Saccharomyces cerevisiae S288C: one gene and its partners. The gene in region 3 interacts genetically with the main gene of each other region. Each region holds a gene or a part of one and is shown on either strand. Other genes may lie near its edges. The genes, in order: FYV8, TPT1, ERI1 and OCA1.

Region 1 (9,232 bases), on a different chromosome or scaffold from region 3:
TCTTCTACATCAGCATTGTCTTTTTCTTTTGTGGACAGCATCATTGCATTACATAGATATGAAGTCAAATTATTAGATACAAGAAAATCTAACTGATATTTTCTGATTTCGTACAATGTTGACCACGCATTTGTTAGAACTTTCGAAATGTTTCCTGGGTATACACATCTGGTGCTGTTTTCTAGCCAATCTAAAGATTCTGATTGGCTCATTAATGGCAAATTATATTCTTTGTAGAAGGAATTCAAGGAAGTCGCAAACGTAGATACCGTATTATCGTAATCAAAAACATTTTCGATTGAATCGGTTTTGGAGGAGTTTTGTAAAATAAAAGAATACGCATCAATGAATGAAATTATGTCACGGTGGGAGTTATCGTGCAGTTGATAGTACTTGTCGTTGTATTTCACAAAATTAACAAAATTTAGTATAGATTCTCTTTTAAATGTCTTCTTCTTTATTTCGTCATTACTGTTATCGCTTAGGTTTTGGAAAAGAAACATTGCTGTTTTCGAAACTTCAATACTTTGAAAAGTCTTTTCCATTGAAGATATTATGAAATTATACCAACTGGGATTCACTTTTATTTTTTTTATGTGAGTGAATTTGAAATAATACTGCAAAAAGACATTAAAATGCTCCAAAGCTTCATCATTTGTCTCACTAGCAGTAGGAAATTTGGCCTTCAACAAAACGTTCTGTCCGAACTTCAAATAAAGATCATCATTATCAATGTGCTTTTTGAGAGGTGACTGGAACTTCTTTATCATGTAAAGGAAAAGAATAAAAGGATTTTCGACGGTAGTTTTAAAATTTTCTGCTAAATCCTGAATTTGATTGAACCTGAGTTTTGCGACGATCAAGCTGATGTATTCGAAAAGAAGACCGTTTGATTCGGGAGGGATCGTATCCACGTGGGCCAGTAGTTCTTTGTAAAAAACATTTTGCATGATATTTATGTCTTGCGAAACTAGACCACGGTAGTACAGGTTTTCTACGATCAAATACCTATCATACTGCTCCATAAGTGCTGTTTTTTGCGATGCAGTGTTATTATGAATTTTCAACGAGTGCAGCAAGCACCGCTGCGATTCCTGAAATTGGCCCCTGTGGAAGAAAAGAATACCGAGGCAATTGAACAGAATTTTCTCCACTAGTTTTGTAATCTCCGGATAGTCATTCAACTCCTCCATCATACTCATATTCTTTTCTAAATTTTGACTTTCCTTCAGTAAAACATCACAAACTGGTTTTGCAGGCCCATTCGATCCAATAACATGGTAATGTAGTCTAAACTGTAAGTTAAGTACGGAATCTAAACTATCAAACCCTGAATTGAAGGTGCTGCCACCTAAGAGTCGCGCTCTTAGCGCTTGGTCGACCACATCTATTATCTTCGATGGAACAGTAGGAGGAATCCGAACATTTGAGTTAGGCATTGGGCAAGTTGGTATTGAACTTCTTTCCAGCTGGCGTGTTCAACTTGTTCCTTCCAGTATGCCACACATTATGCCTTGCACACCTAAAGCACATATTTTCGTTATTTTTCACCACAATAGGTGGATCTCGAAAAGGATGGAAAATCAGGAAAAAGAAATGTTGAGAAAAAAATAAACCGATTCCCGTTTAGTTTTCTCCTATTTCCGTGTATATGCGTGGTTATTCGTTTTCGAATCCTTTTATGAATGTCCGAGGAGGTGGTACAATCCGAAATAGACTAAAGAAAAGCGAAAGCCGTGAGTTTGTTTGATGATAGATGACTCGCAGCTTTGTCATCAACGGGCCACCCTATTCGAAGAAGGGAATGGAAAACGGACTGGCGTAGTCAATAAGCGTCTTCATATCTTAGCATTGTTGAGAGATACATAGTGTACTCCATATCGTTCTTTTTTTTTGTATATATCAAGCCACATATCCTGTTTCTTTAATCTTTTATACGCCGTAAGAATCGGGTACTGACATAAGTGTAAGTAGCCGTACAGAGAACAAATATGACTAAATCGGTTGGTGATGAAGAGTCACAGTACATTGAGGACCCTAGTTTTGCAGCAGCAGCTGCATTTACTGGCGGCAGGGACGGGGTTTCGTACAGTAATCAGCGATTTGCTGAGGGTTCCGGCCATTCTTCTGACTTAGCAAAGTCATTAGAAGACTATCGGCCTCCTGATGAAAAGCCGTCCTCATTGTCATCTGTGGGGGAAGGTGGCGCTAATGAGGAAGAGAAGGGCGGTAACGACGGCGGTCCCTTGGCAAGAATTCAAACAGGGCTTTTTTCTCCAAGACTGCGAAATCATAGGAAAAAGATTCTCTCGAAGTTTGTTTTGAACAACTTCTTCATTGCTTGTGTGTGTGTATCGCTCATATCGATTTACTGGGGTGCCTGTTACGGAACAGATCGTTACTTTTTCAAAGTGAAAAATATTGTTGTATTGCAGGATGCGCCATCTAATACTTCAGTTCAATCTATTTCCGCGATCATACCCTCATTGTTAGCGTCTGTCCCCGGGACATGGCATATATACAACGCAACATCATTTCATAGGAAATTTGGTACGACGAACTCCACCGAAATTGACAGAAAGATAGTCGATTTAATTTACGATGAGAGATACTGGCTGGCGTTAAACGTTAAACCTAATGCTACAGACACTTTGTATAATTCTTTGATTAGCCAAGACGCAAACTCGGAGTTCAATTCATCAATTTTTTTTGAATCCGTGTTTGAAAGTGGTCGTGACCCATCGAGTGTTAAATCGACCATTCTACCACTCATGCAACAATTGGAGGTCCGCCTTCAGAAATATTACGTCAAGGAATATCTTCCCTCATTGATGAGCAACATCACTTCTAATGACAGAGATCTTAATATAAACATGGAGAACTGGGCGATTGCAGGACAGTTGTTGTTCACCTACAACGATTATCGTCCCTTTGCTGATCGTATTCTAATGGCCCCTCTGCAGGTCGGTCTGATTTATTGTATTTTGTTAACCGTTTTACAACTGTCATTATATGGTAAGTTGCACGGAGAAATGGCCAGAGTTCTGAAGCCAAAGCATATTTTAATCTACAGGCTTCTAATTTCCTGGGCAACTTATTTTCTTCTTTCCATTGGATTCTGTACCGTATCTGCAATTTTTAGGATCGATTTCACCCCCGCCTTTGGCAGAGGAGGATTCGTAGTATATTGGATGTCTACGTGGTTGGTAATGATGGCTGTTGGTGGTGCCAATGAAAACGTTCTCAGCTTAGTTATAGCTTACTGCCCTCCATACCTGAGTATTTGGTTGATGACGTGGATCATATTAAATATTTCTGCTTCATTCTACCCAATGGTTTTGAACAACGAATTTTACAGGTACGGCTACATAATGCCAATCCATAATGCCGTGGATATCTATAAAGTGATTTTTTTGAATTTAACCAAAAGAAAAATGGGAAGAAATTACGGTATTCTCGTGGCATGGGTTGCCCTCAATACATCCTTGATGCCATTTTGTATGAAGTTTGCAGGTAAAAAAATGCAAAAAAATGCTATGCAAGCAGCAGAAGCCGCTGTCGCAGCAGCTACCCAGCGTGCTAGCCGCCCGGCAGAGGCCAATACTGATAAAAATAACAACCCGCCCGGAAATTAATGGGTAGGGTTAATAGCTTATTCATATATACACTTAATACGATTAAAAATTATTTATATTCTCATCATCATAAGATGAAGATGCAAATATCACAACAATTATATAACGTCGTTTGTTTGTTTGGTGACACATTAGTGTTTCATTCCGGGTAGCTATTTTGTTTTTCTCATGCCAAGAATTCTGTAAGGCACTTAAAAGTATTCCTAAATACCACTTTCATACATGGTTAACAAGGTAAACACAAAACTTGCATTATAGTTAAAAGGGACTGTTTGATCATTACCCTTTTTCTGGAAAGCGGATATTTATTATGAGCACTGAACAGGTCGGTAGAAAGAAATCGTATAGATGGGTTAGCGCATCTCAAGCAAGTTATGACGGCGCTGGATGGGACAGTAGTGACGAATATGACTACTCTTCCGAGGATGGCACAAAAGGTTCAGAAATTCACAAGCAAAAAATATCTAATTTGCCTAGTTTACCCAAGCTCAATTATACAGATGTTAATGGTGAGCATGATGAAAATACGGGTGAAAATAAAGACAGCAATGATAATAACGTCAGTAAGAGTGATATTAGTCCTAGTGACAAGGAAGTAGGCTATCTCTCAGATGGGGTGCCTAAACTTATGGCTTCAAGAGAGTCTGTGGAATTACAAGCGAAAAAATCCAGCGAGCACTCCAAATCAGATTATCTTTCGTCGACAGCATCTTTGAAAAGTCCAAGTGAAAACAAAAAATCACCACATACAAATAGGGCTGTAAACGAAGACCTAGACAATTTGATAGAGCAAATATCAAGGGAGATGACACCAGAAATTAGGCAAACATCTGATTTTCGGCGTGATTCAGACAGTTGTGACGAAATCCAAAACGAAGCACCATTAGGGGAAGCGGTACCCTCTTCATCATCTCCTGTAGAAGAAGATGAAAAATCACATTCCTTAGGGGTTTCAATGGATACTAATGAAGCTGATACCACTTTCAATACGCCAACAAGGAATGGAAATGAACATTTGAGTAGTGATGGCGATGTTTCTGAGCAGAAAGACGACGAGTTTAAAGTTTCCGAAAGAGGCTACCTTGCAGATATTCTGCCTGCGGAGAAAGAGGAGAATTTACAACAAGAAGATGATGGTGAAGTCGAGAGCTCAGGAGCTTTGGAAAAGAAAGAAAAAAGTGAAGAAAAGACTAGTATTAGGAATAGGAACTCTACATCTAGTGGGCAAGATAAAGTAGCAAAGCCGAAACCCGTAGCAAATGAAACAAAAACTAGTGATAATGGATATCGAAATTCTTTTTTCAATGATTATCAGCATTCGTCAGACTCTGAAGAAGATGATAACAACGAAGGCAACAGTGGTAGTAGTGATGATGATAATCGATCTTCGGTTAGTGATAAACATGCTGATATTAACCGGCAATCGAAACAACTTGATACAACTGACGATGATGCATTGTCGTATACCGAATCAATAAAATATTCGACAAATGAGACAGAAGAAGAAGATAATGAAGATAATGAATCCATAGAAGACAAAAACGAAGATAATGAATCCATAGAAGACGAAAATGAAGATACAGATAGCTATAAATTTTCTAATAGGGAAAAAGGTTCCATTCTACTTACGAGTGATGAAGAGGAGGAGGAAAAAGGTATGAGCTCTGATTCAGATGAAGGCAGTCTCAAGGCGCCCAAATCAGGTTATTTCTCCAAAATGATTGGTAATGATGATAAAGGTGATTCAGCATTGCAACCTAATCAAATAGACACCATTGAAAATACCAATTTGTCAAATAGCGGTTCTGAATTGGAAAACAGCGATGGCAGCGATGAGGAAGACCACATAAATGAAGACAAAGTTTTGGAAGAAAGTTCAGTTAAAGACTCCACTGATGTTGATTCTTGGAAGCCGGACAGTGAGGCCTTACGATCAGGGTTCGTACAGGATACAGCCAATAAGAAAGCGCCACCAGGTTACGTGATCGATTCTAACGGGAAGCTAGTAGATTTAACACCTGCTAGTATGAAACCACGTGTTGTATCGACTTATTCAGAGATGGAGAGTACTTGGGATGCATTCCCTTCCAAAGGCGAAGATGACGATTTGGAGACAATCAGGGACACTAAGACTATATACGACAACAATACGATTTATAATGTTCCCGGTTTGATTGGTAACCAATCGAATTTGCCACCTCTACCGATGGACGCACAGGAACAATTAAATGCAGGAAACGATAATAGTACAACAGATAATGATAATAGTAACAATACTGCCAATGATTTGGCAGCGCGCAGTGCATCTTTCAAAAGTGAAAACAGAACAGTATCTCAAGGCGAAATGACAAGCGTCCATGAACCCAGTACTGAAGAAATGGCGAAATTGGGGCAGCAGAATAACTTACCGAAATTAGATATGAATAAACTACTGAACAGTAAGACTTCGCACGCCGGTAAGATAGAACAGTTGAGAAATTATAAGCGTGAGCTAGATGAATATGATACGGGGATACAAACATGGATAAATTATACGCTAAAATCATCCTCTAATAAGGATAAGGATTTCATAGCTGAGGAGTATAAGCAGCATAGTCACGTTAGGGAAGCATATGCGAACGCGGACGATTTGAGTAAGAAGCATACTGTCATTAACACGGTTGCTAGTGTCAACCAAAATGTAACGCACTTAAGGAGAAAAGTTTTCCAGCATTCTATGAAACCAAAGGATTTATTCGCATCAATAGGTAAGAAAAAACTGTAAGCGTTTTGCTTTACGGTAGAAACACGAAAATGTAAATGCGTTCAATTTTCAATTTTACTGTTTTTTATGTACTTTTATATAAACAGTGGCAATTAATGGCGTTTTTTATTCTACCTAGCAGAGGCGTTACTGACTCTTTTCTGAGCATGTTTCCTCAGTTCTTCATCCATCAAATCTCTTACCCTATGAGCACCTGCGATGCCGATGGCAAGAACGTTCTCTAACCTATCTAACGGAATTTTGTCTTCCACCAATAAAAGAGAAAGTTTTTCTGACTTCCCTACCACACCTAGTGTCACTGTACTCATAGCATTTTCTTCTAATGAATTGGTATCTAATAATGGGGTAGTATCGTACAGCCCGACGGATATACCACTTATGTAATCGAACATTGATATACCGGCATCTATTAAAGCGAGGGTAATACCGTTGATTAAAGATCCCATAATACCGCCATCTTGCTCAAGGACATGGATCTCGATATCGATAACTGTTCTGGGGTAGATATTCAGCATGACATTCTTCTCAAACATCCTCACCAGGGAGGTTTGTATCTCAAGAACACGCCTTTCATTCTTGTGGCTTGATTTACTTCTTTCGAATTTGGAGAATTTTGTAATGTTTACCGATACGTTCAATAAAGCCTTTGAGGTATCCATTTGAGATTTCAATCTTGGCTCTTTTGGACCTTTAACAAGAGTGATAATTTTGTTGTTACCTTGTTCCATGTAGGATGAACCGTCTGCAGCGTGCGGATGTGTGTTGATGGAACTTTCAAAACGGCGGAGTTCATTCCATCGACGTCCATCGAGACGTAGCCCTTCTGGCGAGTATATTTCTAGTCTTGACATATGATGATCCTGCTGTAGTTATGGCACTAAAGTTTTTTTGTAAATCTTTTTATATGTTAATAGATTTTACCAGTGGGACCCTGGAAAGAAAATATGTGTAAATGATGTTTTCTTTTGGATGATGTTCATTGCACAATGGTTCGCAATGTCATTCATTCATCCATTTCTTCTAGCTTTTCAATTATTAATGCCTTAAAATTTTTCAATTTCACCGCGTTACCCGAAGATGTAAATGTACCTACTCAAATAAAAGGTTCCTTGCTGGTTGGCTTTCGTAGCTAAATTGAGTGCACGTTACAAGATTATAAATGCGTTTATATATATATATTCCAGTGAATGATCTACTTTTGCTTAAGCGGCAGAATTGCAAATCTTAATTTTTCTTTTTTGTTTATGTTTTATTTCCTTGTGACAAATAAAATTTTTTTCTCTTCTGAATTTTTAAAACTAAAGAACAAAATATTAAAATAAACAAACAATTCTCCACTTTTTCTTCTTTTGGTATAGAAACTGATAGAAATGTCCTAGACCCTTAATAAGCAAAACACTCATCATTATAACGGGAAAAAATTTGAAGCAAGCTCAAAAGAGATATATATATCATCCAGCATAGACTACTATTAATTTCTATCATAATTGCAATAAAAAAGGAAATATTTAGGGGATCAAGACCATTATTCCATCAGAATGGAAAAAAGTTTAAAAGATCACGGAGATTTTGTTCTTCTGAGCTTCTGCTGTCCTTGAAAACAAATTATTCCGCTGGCCGCCCCAAACAAAAACAACCCCGATTTAATAACATTGTCACAGTATTAGAAATTTTCTTTTTACAAATTACCATTTCCAGCTTACTACTTCCTATAATCCTCAATCTTCAGCAAGCGACGCAGGGAATAGCCGCTGAGGTGCATAACTGTCACTTTTCAATTCGGCCAATGCAATCTCAGGCGGACGAATAAGGGGGCCCTCTCGAGAAAAACAAAAGGAGGATGAGATTAGTACTTTAATGTTGTGTTCAGTAATTCAGAGACAGACAAGAGAGGTTTCCAACACAATGTCTTTAGACTCATACTATCTTGGGTTTGATCTTTCGACCCAACAACTGAAATGTCTCGCCATTAACCAGGACCTAAAAATTGTCCATTCAGAAACAGTGGAATTTGAAAAGGATCTTCCGCATTATCACACAAAGAAGGGTGTCTATATACACGGCGACACTATCGAATGTCCCGTAGCCATGTGGTTAGAGGCTCTAGATCTGGTTCTCTCGAAATATCGCGAGGCTAAATTTCCATTGAACAAAGTTATGGCCGTCTCAGGGTCCTGCCAGCAGCACGGGTCTGTCTACTGGTCCTCCCAAGCCGAATCTCTGTTAGAGCAATTGAATAAGAAACCGGAAAAAGATTTATTGCACTACGTGAGCTCTGTAGCATTTGCAAGGCAAACCGCCCCCAATTGGCAAGACCACAGTACTGCAAAGCAATGTCAAGAGTTTGAAGAGTGCATAGGTGGGCCTGAAAAAATGGCTCAATTAACAGGGTCCAGAGCCCATTTTAGATTTACTGGTCCTCAAATTCTGAAAATTGCACAATTAGAACCAGAAGCTTACGAAAAAACAAAGACCATTTCTTTAGTGTCTAATTTTTTGACTTCTATCTTAGTGGGCCATCTTGTTGAATTAGAGGAGGCAGATGCCTGTGGTATGAACCTTTATGATATACGTGAAAGAAAATTCAGTGATGAGCTACTACATCTAATTGATAGTTCTTCTAAGGATAAAACTATCAGACAAAAATTAATGAGAGCACCCATGAAAAATTTGATAGCGGGTACCATCTGTAAATATTTTATTGAGAAGTACGGTTTCAATACAAACTGCAAGGTCTCTCCCATGACTGGGGATAATTTAGCCACTATATGTTCTTTACCCCTGCGGAAGAATGACGTTCTCGTTTCCCTAGGAACAAGTACTACAGTTCTTC
Region 2 (7,347 bases), on a different chromosome or scaffold from region 3:
AGCAACCGAGAAATGTCCTTTCAAAAGCTGTGAGTCCAACCGATTCCACACCTCCGTCAACTCATACTGAAGATTCGAAACGTGTTTCTAAAACCAATATTCGCGCACCCAGAGAAGTTGACCCCAACATATCTGAATCTAATATTCTTCCATCAAAGAAGAGATCTAGCACCCCCCAAATTTCCAATATCGAGAGTACCGGTTCGGGTGGTATGCATAAATTAAATGTTCCTTTACTTGCTCCCATGTCCCAATCTAACACACATGAGTCGTCGCACGCCAGTAAATCTAAAGATTTCAGACACTCAGACTCGTACAGTGAAAATGAGACTAATCATACAAACGTACCAATATCCAGTACGGGTGGTACCAACAACAAAACTGTTCCGCAGATAAGTGACCAAGAGACTGAGAAAAGGATTATACACCGTTCACCTTCAATCGATGCTTCTCCACCGGAAAATAATTCATCGCACAATATTGTTCCTATCAAAACGCCAACTACTGTTTCTGAACAGAATACCGAGGAATCTATCATCGCTGATCTCCCACTCCCTGATCTACCTCCAGAATCTCCTACCGAATTCCCTGACCCATTTAAAGAACTCCCACCGATAAATTCTCATCAAACTAATTCCAGTTTGGGTGGTATTGGTGACTCTAATGCCTATACTACTATCAACAGTAAGAAAAGATCATTAGAAGATAATGAAACTGAAATTAAGGTATCACGAGACACATGGAATACTAAGAATATGCGTAGTTTAGAACCTCCGAGATCGAAGAAACGAATTCACCTGATTGCAGCTGTAAAAGCAGTAAAATCAATCAAACCAATACGGACAACCTTACGATACGATGAGGCAATCACCTATAATAAAGATATTAAAGAAAAAGAAAAATATATCGAGGCATACCACAAAGAAGTCAATCAACTGTTGAAGATGAAAACTTGGGACACTGACGAATATTATGACAGAAAAGAAATAGACCCTAAAAGAGTAATAAACTCAATGTTTATCTTCAACAAGAAACGTGACGGTACTCATAAAGCTAGATTTGTTGCAAGAGGTGATATTCAGCATCCTGACACTTACGACTCAGGCATGCAATCCAATACCGTACATCACTATGCATTAATGACATCCCTGTCACTTGCATTAGACAATAACTACTATATTACACAATTAGACATATCTTCGGCATATTTGTATGCAGACATCAAAGAAGAATTATACATAAGACCTCCACCACATTTAGGAATGAATGATAAGTTGATACGTTTGAAGAAATCACTTTATGGATTGAAACAAAGTGGAGCGAACTGGTACGAAACTATCAAATCATACCTGATAAAACAGTGTGGTATGGAAGAAGTTCGTGGATGGTCATGCGTATTTAAGAATAGTCAAGTAACAATATGTTTATTTGTTGACGACATGATTTTATTCAGCAAAGACTTAAATGCAAATAAGAAAATCATAACAACACTCAAGAAACAATACGATACAAAGATAATAAATCTGGGTGAAAGTGATAACGAAATTCAGTACGACATACTTGGCTTAGAAATCAAATATCAAAGAGGTAAATACATGAAATTAGGTATGGAAAACTCATTAACTGAGAAAATACCCAAATTAAACGTACCTTTGAATCCAAAAGGAAGAAAACTTAGCGCTCCAGGTCAACCAGGTCTTTATATAGACCAGGATGAACTAGAAATAGATGAAGATGAATACAAAGAGAAGGTACATGAAATGCAAAAGTTGATTGGTCTAGCTTCATATGTTGGATATAAATTTAGATTTGACTTACTATACTACATCAACACACTTGCTCAACATATACTATTCCCCTCTAGGCAAGTTTTAGACATGACATATGAGTTGATACAATTCATGTGGGACACTAGAGATAAACAACTGATATGGCACAAAAACAAACCTACCGAGCCAGATAATAAACTAGTCGCAATAAGTGATGCTTCGTATGGCAACCAACCGTATTATAAATCACAAATTGGCAACATATATTTACTTAATGGAAAGGTAATTGGAGGAAAGTCCACCAAGGCTTCATTAACATGTACTTCAACTACGGAAGCAGAAATACACGCGATAAGTGAATCTGTCCCATTATTAAATAATCTAAGTTACCTGATACAAGAACTTAACAAGAAACCAATTATTAAAGGCTTACTTACTGATAGTAGATCAACGATCAGTATAATTAAGTCTACAAATGAAGAGAAATTTAGAAACAGATTTTTTGGCACAAAGGCAATGAGACTTAGAGATGAAGTATCAGGTAATAATTTATACGTATACTACATCGAGACCAAGAAGAACATTGCTGATGTGATGACAAAACCTCTTCCGATAAAAACATTCAAACTATTAACAAACAAATGGATTCATTAGATCTATTACATTATGGGTGGTATGTTGGAATAAAAATCCACTATCGTCTATCAACTAATAGTTATATTATCAATATATTATCATATACGGTGTTAAGATGATGACATAAGTTATGAGAAGCTGTCATCGATGTTAGAGGAAGCTGAAACGCAAGGATTGATAATGTAATAGGATCAATGAATATAAACATATAAAACGGAATGAGGAATAATCGTAATATTAGTATGTAGAAATATAGATTCCATTTTGAGGATTCCTATATCCTCGAGGAGAACTTCTAGTATATTCTGTATACCTAATATTATAGCCTTTATCAACAATGGAATCCCAACAATTATCTCAACATTCACCCATTTCTCACCTTCAGCTCAAATCCTCATCCCGGAACCTTTTTTCTTATTTGTTCCCTCTTCTACTACAAGAGCTTTCAAATTGTAGTCAAAAACCCGCTTTACTAAAAAAACATCGCCAAAAAAATTTCCAAAATCGCTCGTCTTGCCACTAAAAGTATGCAAAATATTATGTGAAGCAAAGTTATTTCGTGTCTTCCGCCTAACAGAACGTAAGCAGTTGACCATACTTTAGTATAGAGTACGAAAAAACACAAAGAATACCTTAATAAAATAAACATTGTCGTTCGCTAGGAAAACGGTAACGAAAACAAAAAACTAAAAGAAGAAAAGAGGCAGGACGCAGTAAAAGCAAGAAAACTGCTTTTTTTTCATGGCTGAAATGAAGAATTCGACAGCTGCTAGTTCCAGATGGACGAAGAGTCGTCTCTCCCATTTCTTTCCCTCGTACACTAATAGCAGTGGTATGGGGGCCGCCTCAACTGATCAATCTTCTACGCAGGGAGAAGAACTGCACCATAGGAAGCACTGTGAAGAAGACAATGATGGTCAAAAACCGAAAAAGTCTCCCGTATCCACCTCTACAATGCAAATAAAATCTAGACAGGATGAGGACGAGGATGACGGTCGAATTGTCATTAAACCAGTTAACGATGAAGATGATACATCAGTGATTATAACTTTCAATCAGTCAATATCCCCTTTTATTATTACATTGACATTCGTTGCGTCCATTTCTGGGTTCATGTTTGGTTATGATACTGGTTACATATCGAGTGCGCTAATTTCTATCAATAGAGATTTAGACAACAAAGTTTTAACTTATGGAGAAAAAGAATTAATTACGGCCGCCACATCATTGGGCGCTTTGATTACAAGTGTGGGCGCTGGTACTGCTGCTGATGTGTTTGGAAGAAGACCATGTTTAATGTTCTCCAATCTGATGTTTTTGATCGGAGCAATTTTACAAATTACCGCGCACAAGTTTTGGCAAATGGCGGCCGGTAGACTGATTATGGGTTTCGGTGTCGGTATTGGTTCTTTGATTTCTCCTCTTTTTATTAGTGAAATTGCTCCTAAGATGATCAGGGGTAGGTTAACCGTTATAAATTCCCTATGGCTGACAGGTGGTCAATTGATTGCTTACGGTTGTGGTGCGGGCCTGAACCACGTCAAAAACGGTTGGAGAATCTTAGTTGGTTTGTCCTTGATACCTACTGTTTTGCAGTTTTCTTTTTTCTGTTTTTTGCCGGATACACCAAGATACTACGTAATGAAAGGCGATTTAAAGAGAGCAAAAATGGTTCTCAAACGAAGTTACGTAAACACTGAAGATGAAATAATTGATCAAAAAGTTGAAGAATTATCTAGCTTAAATCAATCGATACCAGGAAAAAATCCAATAACAAAATTCTGGAATATGGTCAAGGAATTGCACACTGTGCCTTCAAATTTCAGAGCTTTGATTATTGGTTGTGGTCTACAAGCCATTCAACAATTCACAGGTTGGAATTCCTTAATGTATTTCTCCGGTACAATATTTGAAACTGTTGGATTCAAAAATTCTTCTGCCGTTTCTATTATTGTCTCAGGTACTAATTTTGTGTTCACATTAATAGCATTTTTCTGTATTGATAAAATCGGCCGTAGGTACATTTTACTGATTGGACTACCTGGTATGACTGTGGCGCTGGTTATATGTGCTATAGCGTTCCATTTCCTAGGTATTAAGTTTAACGGTGCTGATGCAGTAGTGGCATCTGATGGATTTTCATCTTGGGGCATTGTCATTATCGTATTTATTATTGTGTATGCAGCCTTTTATGCCCTCGGTATCGGCACTGTTCCATGGCAACAATCGGAATTATTTCCACAAAACGTCAGAGGTGTAGGGACATCCTACGCTACTGCCACCAATTGGGCAGGTTCTTTAGTCATTGCGTCTACGTTCTTGACTATGTTACAAAATATTACACCAACGGGTACATTTTCATTCTTTGCCGGTGTAGCATGTTTATCAACCATTTTTTGTTACTTTTGTTATCCAGAACTATCAGGATTGGAGTTAGAGGAAGTTCAAACAATTTTAAAGGACGGATTCAATATCAAAGCCTCTAAAGCTCTAGCTAAAAAGAGGAAACAACAGGTGGCCGAAGGTGCTGCCCATCATAAACTCAAATTCGAACCTACACAGGAAATTGTAGAAAGTTAGACTGCTACACCAACAAAAAATAAAAGATAAAGAACAAAAAAGAAGGAAGAAAGCTATAAAAGGGAGACAATTCATTTCATCTAATCTTAAAAGTTTTTATTTAAATATATAAGTAAGAGCGAAGTATTTAAAAATAAAAATTCATAAAAGTTGAGCTTGATGAAAGTTATATCTTTTCGAGCGGTATGTTTCTTTCGTGTAAAATTCTTCTTAAAGTATCTAACTTCTCCTCATCTTTCAAGTTTCCTTTAACTACAACTTTTTGGATCAATTCAACGGGAATACTGCTGCTTAAGTAAACATTATTGAGCGACCTGAACATTTTCAAAGTTTGAAAGAATAATGGAGAATGGCAGTCGATGAAAATATAGACGTTACTTGAAGAACGCATTCCACTAATAACTCCCTTCGCGTGCAACATCCCCGGCGATAAATGGACATGATTTCTACTCATTGGTGATATTGCTCCGGATTCAATAATCTTTATGACAGATTGAAGATTTGTTCCATGAATTAGTTCCTGTGGTAACTGCGACGCTTCAGTAATTGGTACGAGAACCTCATCTGATGGCTGAATCGATTTGATTGAATGTCCCTGAGTAGCACAGATCCATTCTTCGTCCGCTCCTAACGTTTTTATATGAAAGCGTTGTTTGTCATTTTCCTTAACAATGCGATGGATATCATCCACCGTACATTTATGAGTTTTCAATCTATTATGAGACAATAGTTCTTTCAGCGGTGTATAACCGTTTGAGTCAATAGTCAACTTTTCTTTCACCGCTGTATGTCGAAGCAGATATGATAAAGCTTTGGAAAGCTGTACATCCCTTTTATCTTTTTGTAGTACCTGGCGCATTGTCAAGTCCACCTTTCCCAGTCATTCTGCTCAATTCTGTAATAATGTATTATGCATTTTGCCATTATTTTGATGAGCTTTCCTCGCGTCACGGTGTCAGTAAAAAAGAACAAATACATCACGAAGACAGAAATACGGACAAGAACCGCAGAAGACATTAAAGTCAAAACATGAAGCTTAATTCAACTCGTGTAAGTATCTTTAAAGGAGATACACTTCCCATTCTTGAATTATTTTTTTATTTAATTTGCCTTATTTATTCAATTATTTATTATGTGAGCACCAGCTGAGTCTAAGACTTGAAATTAATTAATTCGGGCTGATTCAAACTTGAATGCATCAAAATATAAGATTGAATCAAAATGAAAAAATGGTAAAAAGCCGTACCAGAAATCAAGAGATGGAAAAGGTACTCGGAATGATTCCAACCTTCTTCCTTTTTATTTCGTCTGAACAATGATTCAGGGAACCTGGTAACGTAAATTATAGATGCCGCTACCAAAGCCACAAGTTCCCACGTAATTGCGTTCACTTTTATCCTCTCTTTCAGGTTTTCTAAACCATCAAAGGTGATTATTGCGGTTAATAGTGGCAAGGAACAACACACTACTGATACCGAAATGAAGAAAACTGTTTTATTGAATCTTTTCGAGGAAATGAGTTTGTCCGTCAATATAAAAAAGTATGCCACTAATCCTATGAAGTTCATTAAAAGGGTAAAAATTTTGAAGAAAAACACGTAATCATAGAATAGATAATAAAGAATTGTGATTTGTGATGATATCAATAAGTTGATATTCGATAAATACGAAAACTTCTGCCAATGTTCGAGATGTTGTTGTAGAGAAATATTTTTGACGAAGTGATAAATGAAATGCACCATACAAAATACAAAAACGTTCAATAAATAAAAATTGAATACAATGTAGTCTGTCATTGTAGTGGTGGTGGGGAACAAAGGTATCAAATAAAAGTCCGTGAAAAATATTAGGAGACAAAATGACAGCATCGAACCCAAGAGATATATTAGTGCTACTAGTGACTCGTTCCTACTGGATTTATTTTTGTACTGTTTCTGCAATTTTGCCAAGTCATGGAATGGAAAACCCTTCTTTGTTTCTTTTGTCTCTGCATTCTCGTTCGAATCTGTCCCCCTAGTATCATTGCTCTCTTTCTCAGTGGTTGTCTCGCATTTGACTGGGCTTTGCTCTATTGTAGTCAATGAAACCATACTGTCAATATATATGTACCTTTATACCAATATTATATGCGCTGACAAGAACTTTAAGAAATTAATTTCCTTTTCTACTTTTTTTCATTTTTATTTTACTTCTGCGTCCATATATCCGGACCATATATATGAGTGTAAATCATTTAGCTGTTGACACCATTGAGTATTTACAATTAAAACCAATTGAGCTCAACAGGCTTGCGTTGAATAATGTTGAGCTGCCCAACGAGCCCTTTTCTCGCGGAGTGCTGTCCGAATTGTCCGAGTTTTTA
Region 3 (7,235 bases):
AAGCTGTTGCGCTATTTGTGCTATATGATCTTGTGTGGTGTTCTGTGCTTCCTTCTTATGGAAAAGTAGTGGAGTCTGTTTGGTAATGTTGGTCTTGTTCGGGAGTTTTGAAAAGAAAATAAAAAGTGGTTGGCTCATAATGTTAAGAAAGAATTTCCAGTTTCCGATTGAACACAGCAATCTACAGGTAGACATTGTGAATCATGCTCGAATTACGAAGTTGTAGTAATTTGGTCAATAGTAGTAGGAGACTTGTGCCTCTGGTGACTTATTCCGGACTAAGTGCAATAACATTGCCTAAATCTCGATTTTATTCACAGCCTAGTGCTTTAGAAGTACAGGGCACATCGGATTCTCGAAGCGATAATATTTTAGACGAACTCAAACAAAGGGGTCTAGTGTCCCAGGTCTCACAGCCAGAGAGTTTCCTTCGGACGAAGTTGAACGGTAACGATAAGATCAAATTATACTGCGGGGTGGATCCCACAGCTCAGTCACTTCATTTGGGAAATCTAGTTCCACTAATGGTTTTATTACACTTTTACGTAAAAGGTCACGACATTGTCACTGTGATAGGTGGAGCTACAGGGAAAGTTGGGGACCCAAGTGGTAGGAAAACAGAAAGAGACGTTATGGAGAACGATATTAGGCAAAGCAATGTGGCATCCATCTCGCAGCAATTACAAAGGTTTTTCAAAAATGGCCTAGAATATTACAGAAACCGATGTGCTCTCACTGAAGATGTACCTTCCGGAAAATATACACCAAGGAATAATTTCAACTGGTGGAAAGACATCAAAATGTTGGATTTCTTAGCTGATTTTGGTAGGCACATTCGGGTACAATCTATGTTGGCGAGGGATTCAATTTCTTCGAGGCTTCAAACCAAAAATGGTCTGGGATTTAACGAATTTACTTACCAAGTTTTACAAGCGTACGATTTTTACCATTTGTATAAGGAAGAGAATGTGACTATACAAGTAGGTGGTAACGACCAATGGGGAAATATAACAGCCGGTATCGATCTCATCAATAGGATACAGCCTATAAAGAATAAGGGTTTGCCATTTGGTATCACTGTGCCCTTGTTGACGACGGCTACAGGAGAGAAATTTGGGAAAAGTGCAGGCAATGCTGTTTTTATTGACCCCTCAATCAATACGGCGTATGATGTTTACCAGTTCTTTTATAATACTTTGGATGCTGATGTACCCAAGTTCTTGAAGATCTTTACGTTTTTAAACTCAAGTGAAATCAAAAAAATTGTGGAAACGCATATCAAATCACCCAGTCTACGTTATGGCCAAACTTTATTGGCTAAAGAAGTCACAGATATGTTATATGGAGTTGGCTCCGGATCGGATTCAGAAGCGCTTTCTAATATTATTTTTGGACGTTATGACGGAACTTTATCTGCTGCGAAGTTAGTTGATCTATGTAAAAAAGCCAGAATTTTGCAGTATGCTGATAGAGAGATTGACTTAATAAAGTTAATTTGTAAACTAGTAAATTGTTCAGTATCAGAAGCCAGAAGAAAACTTTCCCAGGGAAGCGTGTATCTGCATCATTCAAAATCTAAAGTAAACGAAAATATTTCTAACTTGGCTCCTTTCCTGATAGATGATCGAGTACTGATCTTGAGGATAGGAAAGCAGAAGTGTTTTATAATAGAAATGCGTTAAAAAAAAGGGAGGTATATAAAGTACATGTATAAAATAGGCATGCGTGAGGTGATATTATATCATTTTATGCACTGACTTGTAAATAAGATTATAAACGATTATTCATCTTTACTACTTGCGAACATTTCACTGTCACACCAGGCTATGAGGGCCCACAGCCAGAGAGTCGCAGGGCATAGCAGTAATACACACCAGTAGTGCAGGAAAGAGTCATTGTTGCGTAACCAGTAAAATGTAGCAAGACTAATTAGGAGTACCGAGTAAGTAAACCCTAAAACCAAAAAGCCTTGGTCACGTGGTCTCATGCGCTTATAAATTCTCAATCATGTAATTGAAACAGTCCTGTTGCCTAGTTTCAACTGTTCTATGCTTCTTGATGTTTTCGAAACTTTGCGTAGTGTAATCTTCCTTGTATTGTAGCGAAGAAAAAAGGATGCGTTGGGAACAGATATAGAAGACGTAAAACAACCTGAAGAAGGTAACAGGTGGAGTAGCAATGGGAGAGGTATACGAAAAAAATAACATAGATTTTGATTCAATAGCCAAAATGTTGTTAATTAAGTATAAGGATTTCATACTGTCTAAATTCAAGAAAGCTGCACCTGTAGAGAATATAAGGTTTCAGAATTTAGTCCATACAAATCAATTCGCACAAGGAGTCCTAGGTCAGAGTCAACATCTCTGTACAGTCTATGACAATCCTTCATGGCATTCTATAGTCCTGGAGACATTGGATCTGGATCTAATATATAAAAATGTTGATAAGGAATTTGCCAAAGATGGGCATGCAGAGGGGGAAAATATATACACGGATTATCTAGTAAAGGAGCTGCTTCGCTACTTCAAACAAGATTTTTTCAAATGGTGCAATAAACCAGATTGTAATCATTGTGGCCAGAACACTTCAGAAAATATGACACCTCTGGGCAGTCAAGGGCCCAATGGAGAGGAATCTAAATTCAATTGCGGAACTGTTGAGATCTATAAATGCAACCGATGCGGAAATATCACTAGATTTCCTCGTTATAACGATCCAATTAAGTTGCTGGAAACTAGAAAGGGAAGATGCGGTGAATGGTGCAATTTATTTACTTTGATTTTGAAGTCGTTTGGGTTAGATGTTCGCTACGTCTGGAATAGAGAAGATCATGTTTGGTGTGAATATTTTTCAAATTTTTTGAATAGGTGGGTTCATGTCGACTCCTGTGAGCAATCATTCGACCAACCATATATCTATTCAATTAACTGGAACAAGAAAATGAGTTACTGTATTGCGTTCGGTAAAGATGGCGTTGTTGACGTTAGTAAACGCTATATCCTCCAAAACGAGCTGCCCAGAGATCAAATCAAGGAAGAAGATTTAAAATTCCTTTGTCAATTTATAACGAAGAGGTTGAGGTATTCGTTAAATGATGACGAGATATACCAACTTGCATGTCGCGATGAGCAGGAACAGATAGAGCTGATTAGAGGAAAGACACAAGAAACGAAATCCGAAAGCGTCAGTGCCGCTTCGAAATCATCTAATCGTGGTAGAGAAAGTGGATCGGCGGATTGGAAAGCACAGCGTGGGGAGGATGGTAAATAGAGAAATAAAAGAACAGATTATTATGTGTAAGGAATTTTATCTAAGAACATATTTATAAAACTAACTCATCAAAGCTGCCCAAGAACTCGGCAGCTTGCTTTGTTAACCAGGAATTACTTTCATTGTCGAGATAAGCCAAATGTCCACCCAAGTCAGTCTCGCATAACAACACACAAGGATTTTCTCTAGCTTGTTTGTACGGAATTACGTTTTCACCTGTAACTGGATCATCCGTTGCGTTGATTATTAAAGTTGGGATTTTGATATTAGGCAATCTATTTATCGAACTGGCCTTTCTATAATATGTTAACCCGTCCGGCAGGCCCATCGATGGGGCAGTGAAAAGATTATCGAATTCTAATATGTCTGTAAATTTTTCAGCCTTTTCCAAATTTTCTCTGGTATACGTATAAAAGACTGGTTTCTCAACTGTCGGTTTGTGCGAAACCTCAAAATTCTCTGGTACCTGCAACTCATTCATATTAACCTTGACAGTCCTTGTTAGAAATTGTGTTAAAGTTCTAGAAAAAATATGGTTGGACCACCAATCATGAGCCAACTTGTCCCAAGTGTGTACGAAATCCCATGGGTTTGAGAGAGCGACTGCAGCATTTAATGGACAGTTATCTCCTTCTTCACCTAAGTAGTTCGTTAGCATGGCTGCTCCAAATGATGTTCCGACTGCATATATTTTTCTTTGCGGAAATAGAGCTTTTTGGTGGTTCAAAAATTCTCTCACATCACCTGTGTGTAATGCGGTAAAGATTCTACGGGTGGTGACTTTAGATCTTGAGCAACCTCTAGCATTAAGGACTACCACTTGGAATTTACCGTCACCGACTTTTGATAGATCTTCAGATAATGCCCTGATGAGAGGCTCATGGCTTCCCCCTGCAAGACCATGAAGTACTACCACTAAAGGGTAAGAATAACCCTTAGAATGACATTTTTCAAGTTCCTCAGAGGATAGATATCTAGTTCTCGGGTGAAGACGAGGCCAACCCTTTGGATGGGTGGCCTTTTCATCGTTCGAAAATTGTTTCTCGTTAAAACTAGCCTTTTCAGCATTTAATGAATATGTTTGCTCCCATTCAGGCATAACCCAATCTGCAGTGCAGACCCCTCCATCAGAAAATTTTATAATCTCTCTTCCATAAAATACCTGAAATTTTTTGGAAAAATCACCGGCTGACAAATAAAGGGTCTGTAAGTAACCTGTGAAAAGCAAGCTGTTTAACCTAAAATTTGCACCATCTTTGAGTGTAGGCACGTGTTTGGTTACGAATTCATGAAGAGGAATTTGGCGCTTAGAATCTCTGAAAGCCAAAGACTTGGTTCCTTTCTCTCCCAGTACATGTTTGACGGTGCCGTTATAGCCCCAATGGCTAGGAGTGACAGTTGGATAGTAACCCGAGCGAAACATTAAAATGACAAATATGAAAATACTTGATATCTTGATCTTTTTGCTAATCTTCAAAAATACCGAAAACTAAGTAGGCAACCAGATGCAGAACCCTTCTTATATAATCGATTCCTGTAAGCAAGTGTCAGCAAATAGCTTCTATATAGAGACCTTTCGGTGAAAGTATATTAAAGCCGGCCGGAAATTGAGTAATAATAACCGCTAATTATGCGGTGTGTGGATTCAGATTTTTGCCAGGAGCGATAACCTTCAAATCTAAAACTACTCACTATAAGCGATGAAGCAACCAGATGGTAGCGCTTTGGTGCCGGTTCTCTTGAAGGTTTGTACATGTGCGAGTTCATGAGGTTACAATATAGAAGGTTTATACAGTAGAGCTATACAGGATAATGGAAGTTCAGTTTTGTTCGGCTTTTTCATTGATGGCTTTCTTCTTATTGCTTTCTCTCTTGGCTTGTTTCTTCTTCATTCTTTTCAGTTTCTTTTTGTAACTATAAGTATCCTTCTCACCAAAACCGTAAAGTGGCTTAAAACTCTCTAGTACACCGCAATCTTCGAACAGGTTGGGAAAGATCCAGAACCCACCAACATCTTTGTAGACAATTAATGACAAAACATATAATATCAATCTCAGGATAGCGACAGCAAAGAAGCCTGCTAAGATGCCGAAGGCACCCAGAGACACATAATAGGAGCCGCGTCTCATGGAGCGCGGCCACAATGGGTAGCATACGAGCGCCAATATGATGGACACGACACCAATGACGATCAAGTAATCCATGTAGGTTCTAGGGTTATAGTTCCAAACAAAGTATTCATCGGCTTCCAATTGTGCTTTATTCGAAACAATCAAGTGCGGAAAGTCCTTGCTTGGCTTCAATCCATGCTCTTTGCATTCTTGACTATGCAATTTTTTCACTGGGATCACCATTTGTGCCTTTATAAGTTGAATAAAGATTTCACGTGACTTAAGCTGGTCTTCGATCTTGTTAGAAGGTATAGTTGGATATATCTCTGGCTGTCTTGCAGATTTGTTGGCATACTCCTCAGAATGCAGTGCCCTAACAAATCTCTTGTAACGGAAGAAGTCTGTCTGCTTGGCCTGGAATAAACCCTGCCTTTGCTTCAACTCCTTATGGTTGCGTAAAAGAGTAGCAATGGCTGTAGCAGATCCGCCATTGACACTAGCACCTGCATTGCTACCTGGACCTACGGCTGACATGTTCTCCTGTGTTTGCTCGGCTACCATACTGCATTCAACTGCAATTATAAAAGCCCACTCTTCTCCCTCTTGATTTGTATGCCAGTATTGGGAAAACGACACGTCTATTCCGTCGCACACGATCTTCACTTTCTTTTTTTTTTTCAACTGAACGAAAAGTTTTTTCCGCAGCTCATCGCAAAGAAAAATTTTCACCTATGTACTACCTCATCTAATACAATATAAAGAATACACTTCAGATTTAGGAGTTGCAGCGTTTATAAAAAAGTAAGTGTACCCTCCAAAAGCAAACACATCTCCCTCCTATACCGAAGATGCAACTTTCATGGAAGGATATCCCTACTGTCGCTCCAGCAAATGATTTGCTGGATATTGTCTTGAACAGAACCCAGAGAAAGACACCAACTGTGATCAGACCTGGTTTCAAGATTACAAGAATCAGAGCGTTCTATATGCGTAAAGTTAAATACACAGGTGAAGGTTTCGTGGAAAAATTTGAGGACATTTTAAAGGGTTTTCCTAACATCAATGACGTGCATCCTTTCCATAGAGATTTGATGGACACCCTATACGAAAAGAATCATTACAAGATATCTTTGGCAGCTATATCTCGTGCGAAGTCCCTTGTGGAACAAGTCGCCAGAGATTATGTCAGATTGCTAAAATTCGGTCAATCTTTATTTCAATGTAAACAATTGAAAAGGGCCGCTTTAGGTAGAATGGCAACTATAGTCAAGAAATTGAGGGACCCATTGGCCTATTTGGAACAAGTCAGACAGCACATTGGTAGATTACCATCGATCGACCCAAATACCAGAACCTTGCTGATCTGTGGTTATCCAAATGTCGGTAAGTCCTCGTTTTTGAGATGCATTACCAAATCAGACGTCGATGTTCAACCATATGCTTTCACAACCAAGAGTTTATACGTTGGTCATTTTGACTACAAATACTTGAGATTTCAAGCTATTGACACCCCTGGTATCCTAGATAGACCCACTGAAGAAATGAACAACATTGAAATGCAATCGATTTATGCCATTGCCCATTTACGTTCTTGTGTTTTGTACTTCATGGATCTTTCCGAACAATGTGGTTTCACCATCGAAGCTCAAGTTAAACTATTCCACTCCATCAAGCCTCTATTCGCCAACAAGTCTGTCATGGTTGTTATCAACAAAACCGACATTATCAGACCGGAGGATTTAGACGAAGAGCGTGCACAATTACTGGAATCTGTTAAGGAGGTTCCAGGTGTTGAAATCATGACTTCTTCATGCCAACTGGAAGAAAACGTTATGGAAGTTAGAAACAAAGCAT
Region 4 (7,541 bases), on a different chromosome or scaffold from region 3:
AACCTAACCAGGATCTTAACATCAGATGCCACTGTAAGTAAAAAGGATATTGAAACATCCGGCGAATCATTACCACAGTGGATGAGAAAATTTTCATTAACTCCATTACTTGTGTTTTTCCTAAAGAATTGTTTGAGACCGTGCTCTATGGCCGTGATCATCGCCCTAACTGTTGCATTTATCCCATGGGTCAAGGCTTTGTTCGTGACTACCGCTAATACTCCTCACATAAGCCAAGCTCCTGACAATGCACCACCATTAAGCTTTTTCATGGATTTTACAGGTTATGTCGGTGCCGCATGTGTTCCATTTGGGTTGATATTATTAGGAGCAACTTTAGGAAGATTAAAGATTGGCAACCTTTATCCTGGATTTTGGAAAGCCGCTGTGACACTCGTCATTTTGAGACAATGTGTCATGCCAATTTTTGGTGTCCTATGGTGTGATCGGTTAGTGAAAGCTGGATGGGTTAATTGGCAAGATGATAGAATGCTACTATTTGTTATAGCAATCAGCTGGAACTTGCCAACGATGACTACCCTTATATATTTCACCGCCAGTTTTACGCCGCCAGAAACAACTGCGCCAATCCAAATGGAGTGTGTTTCATTTTTCTTAATGCTGCAATACCCGCTAATGGTTGTTAGCTTGCCATTTTTAGTGTCTTACTTTCTGAAAGTACAGATGAACCTTTAGTTTTAATCCATTAAACAAAAAATTATTACCACTCCTAATCACTGTTTTAGGGTGGGTTAAAATTAACATTCTCCATTTTTATATAGAACTAATAAAAAACACCTACTTATAGACACGACCAAACTTTCCACAACCTTTCATCAGAGAGAAATGTTGATCAAGTTGAATGCGTGAAAGTAGCAATTCGAAACAACAACTACCTGTCATTCTGCATAGTAGTAGTTACGAAAGGCACAGAAAATAACAAAAAAAAAAAAAAAGTCAATTTTCTACGGTCTCCATCCGTACCTCTTTAAATCCGTACATTATTGTTTTGCTTAATTTCAATATTTCGGAAAAAGCGAGCGCCCTGGTAAAATGTGGTTCAAGCCTGCGAGCCTTTGCTTGGTAACTCACCAAATGCAATTCAGTCACGTTCCACACAGTTTGGGTTTCCAGCCTGGCTTTAGGGAAGAATGGGCTCACTAGGCGTTCATAATACGCGGAGGGGGAAATACCAAATGCTATTGATTATGGTTAAAATATGTGTTATTTGACTTTGTATATACAAACAGAAGAGAAACCAACACACTAAAGACTAGACACATAACTGACCAATGTCCTCTGTCCAATCCAAGATCTTATCCCAAGCTCCAAGTGAGTTGGAATTACAAGTCGCCAAGACCTTCATCGATCTAGAAAGCTCCTCTCCAGAACTAAAGGCTGACTTGAGACCATTGCAAATCAAATCTATCAGAGAAGTATGTTAAAAGTTATATAATTTGGAAGCAGCAACATTGTGATTTCTTCTAAAGGGGTTCTTTGCAGTAATTTTTTCAAAAAAGAGTGATTTTGAGCAGTATCTGTATGAAATTTTCATGTGTTCGAGAAAAATAGTAATTCCGAGAGCTGTCAATACCATGAACGTTGCGATGAGCCTTTGAACTATAAAGGCCTCCTTGGTCAGTACCAATATCGATGAATAAAATAGAAGCACGCGAAAAAGACCTTACCCCAAGGAGAAGAATCACAAACCCTTTTTTGTTATGAATGAACCAATTCAGTTACTAACTTTATTTCAACGCTGCTTGATTCTTATTGTTTAGATTGATGTCACCGGTGGTAAGAAAGCACTAGTCCTTTTTGTCCCAGTTCCAGCTTTGTCTGCATACCATAAGGTCCAAACCAAATTGACCCGTGAATTGGAAAAGAAATTCCCTGACCGTCATGTTATTTTCTTGGCTGAAAGAAGAATCTTGCCAAAACCATCTAGAACATCTAGACAAGTCCAAAAGAGACCAAGATCCAGAACTTTGACTGCTGTTCACGACAAGGTTTTGGAAGACATGGTTTTCCCAACTGAAATTGTCGGTAAAAGAGTTAGATATTTGGTTGGTGGTAACAAGATCCAAAAGGTTTTGTTAGACTCCAAGGATGTTCAACAAATCGACTACAAGTTGGAATCTTTCCAAGCTGTCTACAACAAGTTGACTGGCAAACAAATTGTTTTTGAAATTCCAAGCCAGACCAACTAAATAGTGAGATAACTATCATTCTCATCATTTGTCATACTTAAAGAAAATAATATTAAGAAAAAATAATAAAAAAAGAAACATAGTTATGAGAATACAAAAGGAGGTTTCCAAAAAGTGGGCTTTTTTAATTCGAGTAAAATAATTATGAATGTATACTTAAATATATTTTGTATCTGTCAATATAGAGATGCTTTAATTGGTGTTTTGACATTTTGGAATACATATTGGGTTGATTTCCCAAGTTCTCGCTGCAATCAGATAAAAAGGAAAAAAAATAATGGTTGCTAAGAGATTCGAACTCTTGCATCTTACGATACCTGAGTATTCCCACAGTTAACTGCGGTCAAGATATTTCTTGAATCAGGCGCCTTAGACCGCTCGGCCAAACAACCACTTATTTGTTGAAGAAAAAGCATTATTTATCGCTAGACAACGATACGTCCATCAACAACCGTTAGTTCTTTCACATTGATATGCGGATTACTTATCTGAAGGAAAGGAAAAAGGCGTGGAACAAGTGAGCATTAACATAACCATCTGAAATCTTAGATGATCCCAAGTATGTGTAATTAGATCCGCCTCTTCGCCCAGCACATTGTCCATGCATTATCTGCTTACCTCTACGCGTACCTTGACATGGCGTGTTACGTGTTTCAACTTTGTATAATCAGAATTTCATTTGAGTATATTTTACAAGTCAAAAGCCCAAATGACGTATACTTGAAATAATTGAGGCACGTCCAATTGTGAGTGGCAAACCTTTTTTTCGGTATTCTAGATAGAGCTAATCGCGTATTTGCAATTATAGTTTACAATTCTTAGACGATTTCCGAAGAAAGTTAAAAATGCCCTTGAAAAAAAAATATGTAGGAAAGAGTGCATGCACATGAAGAAGAAAGAAAGAGCTAGGGAAAAAACGAAAAAGGAGCCTAAGGAAAAGAGTTAGGCGTTTACAACAGGACGAACCCGGAAGGAGAAAAGTTTGTAGTCTTGCAGTATCACAAACAGCAACCACGTTCATAGTCTGAAATACGTACAAATGAGTTCACCAGCGAACCTATTCCCTGGATTAAACGACATAACTGACGTGCTGGAGGAATTCCCACTGGCCACCTCCAGATATTTAACATTACTACACGAAATAGATGCAAAATGTGTGCATTCTATGCCGAATTTGAACGAGAGGATAGATAAGTTCTTGAAGAAAGACTTCAATAAAGATCACCAAACACAAGTAAGACTGCTCAATAATATCAACAAGATTTATGAAGAACTGATGCCATCGCTGGAGGAGAAAATGCATGTCTCATCCATTATGCTGGATAATCTAGACAGATTGACGTCCCGGTTAGAATTGGCGTATGAAGTCGCAATCAAGAACACAGAAATTCCTAGAGGTTTAAGACTGGGTGTGGACAACCATCCAGCAATGCACCTCCATCATGAACTAATGGAAAAAATAGAGAGCAAATCAAACAGCAAATCGTCGCAGGCACTGAAGAGCGAATCAAGAAGAGAAGCCATGGCTGCCAACAGGAGGCAGGGCGAACATTACTCCGCCAGCACACACCAACAAGACGACTCAAAGAACGACGCAAACTACGGAGGCAGCAGGCACGAGAGCCAAGACCACACTGGTAACAACACAAACTCAAGAAAAAGAGCCAACGCTGCCAATACCAACAACGCCGATCCAGAGACCAAAAAACGCAAGAGGAGAGTTGCCACCACAGCCGTTTCACCAAGCACTATCAGCACGGCAACTGCCGTCAATAATGGCAGGATAGGTACATCTACAGCGTCCAGGGGAGTTAGCAGCGTCGGAAACAGCAACAACAGCAGGATATCAAGACCAAAAACCAACGACTACGGCGAACCGCTCTACTGCTACTGTAACCAAGTGGCATACGGGGAAATGGTGGGGTGTGATGGCGCAGACTGTGAGCTAGAATGGTTCCATTTGCCATGTATTGGACTCGAAACTCTACCTAAGGGCAAGTGGTATTGCGACGACTGCAAAAAAAAACTGTGAAATAGCTCTCGGGCGAATATCGCCTTAAGGAAATATCTACTAAATACCGAATATATACATATATATATATCTTAGCTACATATATATATATCTTAGCGTTTTAACGGGCGTGGCCGTATCAATGGATCTGCAAGATACTTGGGCCCTACCGGTCTAGATAAAATATTCAAATCGATGGTGATGACGGCACGATAAAACGTAATAAATGATGAAATGACTTGTCACGGCGTAGCAGCGCCAGCAGCTCAGTCTAATCGCCGTACAGTGGGTGGTGTGGCTAATCGCTTAGGCTTTTTATTCAGAAGGACCTTTTCATTCACCTCGCCCCCCTTGGAGGTTCCTGCCTGACCCCTTTGCCCCTGGCCTCGCCCCTGCGCCATGTCTCTGCCTGGAGCGTGACATTTAGGACGGTGAAGCTAGGCAGGCCTTCAGAAATTAAACGGAACATGACAGCAAAGACGAAACAAAGCTGGAATAAGGGGATCTGGGAAAACGGGAAACAAGGTTCACATCAGCAAACATTTCTACCGAAAATCTGGGTAAACATTTATAGTACCCCAACATCTTAAGTTTTAGCCGTTGTCTTCTCTTATCGCCTAGAATCGCTCATTTCAAGCGTAACGCAATCCGGCTTTTGTTTTTTTTCCATTTTATTCATCCACTCTTTATCTGACTCTTCTGCACTATATTAATCAACTAGGAGAAAATTACTTGAGCAGAAAGATACGAGAGAATTACGGATAAAAAAACCAAGTTAACCGTTTTCGAATTGAAAGGAGATATACAGAAAAAAAAATGCCTTTGAACAAGTCGAACATAAGAGAGTACAAGCTAGTCGTCGTTGGTGGTGGTGGTGTTGGTAAATCTGCTTTGACCATACAATTGACCCAATCGCACTTTGTAGATGAATACGATCCCACAATTGAGGATTCATACAGGAAGCAAGTGGTGATTGATGATGAAGTGTCTATATTGGACATTTTGGATACTGCAGGGCAGGAAGAATACTCTGCTATGAGGGAACAATACATGCGCAACGGCGAAGGATTCCTATTGGTTTACTCTATAACGTCCAAGTCGTCTCTTGATGAGCTTATGACTTACTATCAACAGATATTGAGAGTCAAAGATACCGACTATGTTCCAATTGTGGTTGTTGGTAACAAATCTGATTTAGAAAACGAAAAACAGGTCTCTTACCAGGACGGGTTGAACATGGCAAAGCAAATGAACGCTCCTTTCTTGGAGACATCTGCTAAGCAAGCAATCAACGTGGAAGAGGCGTTTTACACTCTAGCACGTTTAGTTAGAGACGAAGGCGGCAAGTACAACAAGACTTTGACGGAAAATGACAACTCCAAGCAAACTTCTCAAGATACAAAAGGGAGCGGTGCCAACTCTGTGCCTAGAAATAGCGGTGGCCACAGGAAGATGAGCAATGCTGCCAACGGTAAAAATGTGAACAGTAGCACAACTGTCGTGAATGCCAGGAATGCAAGCATAGAGAGTAAGACAGGGTTGGCAGGCAACCAGGCGACAAATGGTAAGACACAAACTGATCGCACCAATATAGACAATTCCACGGGCCAAGCTGGTCAGGCCAACGCTCAAAGCGCTAATACGGTTAATAATCGTGTAAATAATAATAGTAAGGCCGGTCAAGTTTCAAATGCTAAACAGGCTAGGAAGCAGCAAGCTGCACCCGGCGGTAACACCAGTGAAGCCTCCAAGAGCGGATCGGGTGGCTGTTGTATTATAAGTTAATAAAAAGGAAATAGTTGTAGAAACGCTAAGACGAAAAGAACTCTATAAAGTTGAAACGAGTACACACATTTATAAATATATACAAAAGTAAATAAAAAAGTGACTGTTTTTATATTGCTTATTGCCATTTGCTATTTCCGTTTCATTCTTGTTAACATTGGAAACTTTGGGCAATATCATATGGTTGCCGGGTAAAGGAAAAAACAAACAACATCGCTATAACATAAAATTGGACATTGCAGAGAGTCATCAATCACATCCATTTTCACAAGAAAGAGGTGTTCCACCTGGAATAACAAGCTTCTCTTTCCCCTTAGAATGACATCTAAAGTTGGTGAATATGAGGACGTTCCAGAGGATGAGTCCCGCCTCACAGAAGAGAACGTATCCGTACCTGAAGAAGAAGTAGAAGACGAAGACGAGGAAGAAGACGACGATGATGATCATATATATATCAATGAAGAAACAGAATCTGGTCGCGAAAAGGTCTTGGTATCACATGCCCCACAAGAACGTATCGTTCCACCTTTGAATTTCTGTCCCGTTGAAAGATACCTCTATAGATCTGGTCAGCCTTCACCTGTGAATTTCCCCTTTTTACTAAACCTAAAACTGAAAACAATTATATGGCTGTCTAACGAAGAACCTCAAGATACCCTCCTAGAGTTTTGTGATACTCATAGAATAAACTTACAATTCGCAGCCATCAACCCGGATGCCGGTGAGGACGATAATCCATGGGACGGTCTCACTGAACATTCTATAATTAATGTACTACAAACGATCGTCACTCAAGAGAATTATCCCTTGCTAGTGTGCTGTGGTATGGGAAGACATAGGACTGGGACAGTCATTGGATGTCTCAGAAGAATAATGGGTTGGAACTTAGCCAGTGTATCCGAAGAATATAGACGCTTTACTGGTAGCAGAGGTGGTAGAATTCTTGTAGAGTTGCTTATAGAAGCTTTCGACACTAATTTAGTAAAAATAGACAAAAATAAAGCACCAAGTTGGTTACTGACAGCTTTGGAGTAGAGGCAAGAAAAAAAAAATGCAAAAGATAAAGAAAAAGCACTGAGCTTTATGACCATTTACCTAAAGTTTGAAATGTTTCAGGATGCACGGCCCATTCGCGAACCAACTTCTAAAGATCACACGAAATGAAATTCAAAATAAATGAAATTTATTTAATGGGTAATTTTATAGAATATTAATTATCCGATTTATATATGGACATACTTACTATGGACATGATAATGAACAAAAAAAGATATCCGCTTGATATCATGCTTGCTCCAACTTTTCATAAAGCTGTTCCCTTGCATACCTTATATTTTTTTGTAATGTCTGATCGATTTGACGTTTTAAATCACATTTCTTGGCAACATATCCTTCCTCATAAATTCGTTTCCAAGTATTGTGATATGACTTGACGAAATCAGCTGGCAGTAAATCATTTTCAGTGGCATTGACCAAATTCTGTGATGTCTGTGGAGCCCAATACTTGAATGTAGCTGCTGCCAATACCCATGGTA

Evidence for each region.
Region 1: mutations in ERI1 (region 3) and FYV8 together harm fitness more than expected from each alone (negative genetic interaction), as found in Saccharomyces cerevisiae (2 studies listed by BioGRID).
Region 2: mutations in ERI1 (region 3) and TPT1 together harm fitness more than expected from each alone (negative genetic interaction), as found in Saccharomyces cerevisiae (one large-scale study listed by BioGRID).
Region 4: mutations in ERI1 (region 3) and OCA1 together harm fitness more than expected from each alone (negative genetic interaction), as found in Saccharomyces cerevisiae (2 studies listed by BioGRID).

Annotation. Positions count from the first base shown.
Region 1 is NC_001139.9:886,900-896,131, reverse strand, and holds FYV8 (Fyv8p), read left to right. Parts: upstream 1-3,945; coding exon 3,946-6,399; downstream 6,400-9,232. Other genes in the region: YPP1 (Ypp1p), read right to left, coding at 1-1,439; SNG1 (Sng1p), read left to right, coding at 1,992-3,635; exosome non-catalytic core subunit SKI6, read right to left, coding at 6,510-7,250; XKS1 (xylulokinase), read left to right, coding at 8,257-9,232.
Region 2 is NC_001147.6:120,846-128,192, forward strand, and holds TPT1 (tRNA 2'-phosphotransferase), read right to left. Parts: upstream 5,845-7,347; coding exon 5,152-5,844; downstream 1-5,151. Other genes in the region: myo-inositol transporter ITR2, read left to right, coding at 3,156-4,985; IZH4 (Izh4p), read right to left, coding at 6,137-7,075. UniProt on the Saccharomyces cerevisiae protein: Catalyzes the last step of tRNA splicing, the transfer of the splice junction 2'-phosphate from ligated tRNA to NAD to produce ADP-ribose 1''-2'' cyclic phosphate.
Region 3 is NC_001148.4:364,749-371,983, forward strand, and holds ERI1 (Eri1p), read right to left. Parts: upstream 1,988-7,235; coding exon 1,781-1,987; downstream 1-1,780. Other genes in the region: tyrosine--tRNA ligase MSY1, read left to right, coding at 204-1,682; PNG1 (peptide-N4-(N-acetyl-beta-glucosaminyl)asparagine amidase), read left to right, coding at 2,179-3,270; EEB1 (medium-chain fatty acid ethyl ester synthase/esterase), read right to left, coding at 3,323-4,693; Sec63 complex subunit SEC62, read right to left, coding at 5,091-5,915; putative GTPase NOG1, read left to right, coding at 6,230-7,235. UniProt on the Saccharomyces cerevisiae protein: Probable component of the GPI-GlcNAc transferase (GPI-GnT) complex in the endoplasmic reticulum, a complex that catalyzes transfer of GlcNAc from UDP-GlcNAc to an acceptor phosphatidylinositol, the first step in the production of GPI-anchors for cell surface proteins.
Region 4 is NC_001146.8:438,067-445,607, reverse strand, and holds OCA1 (putative tyrosine protein phosphatase OCA1), read left to right. Parts: upstream 1-6,324; coding exon 6,325-7,041; downstream 7,042-7,541. Other genes in the region: YNL095C (uncharacterized protein), read left to right, coding at 1-696; 40S ribosomal protein eS7 RPS7B, read left to right, coding at 1,293-1,436, 1,782-2,210; PHO23 (Pho23p), read left to right, coding at 3,250-4,242; PLS1 (Pls1p), read left to right, coding at 4,689-4,811; Ras family GTPase RAS2, read left to right, coding at 5,038-6,006; MIC27 (Mic27p), read right to left, coding at 7,291-7,541.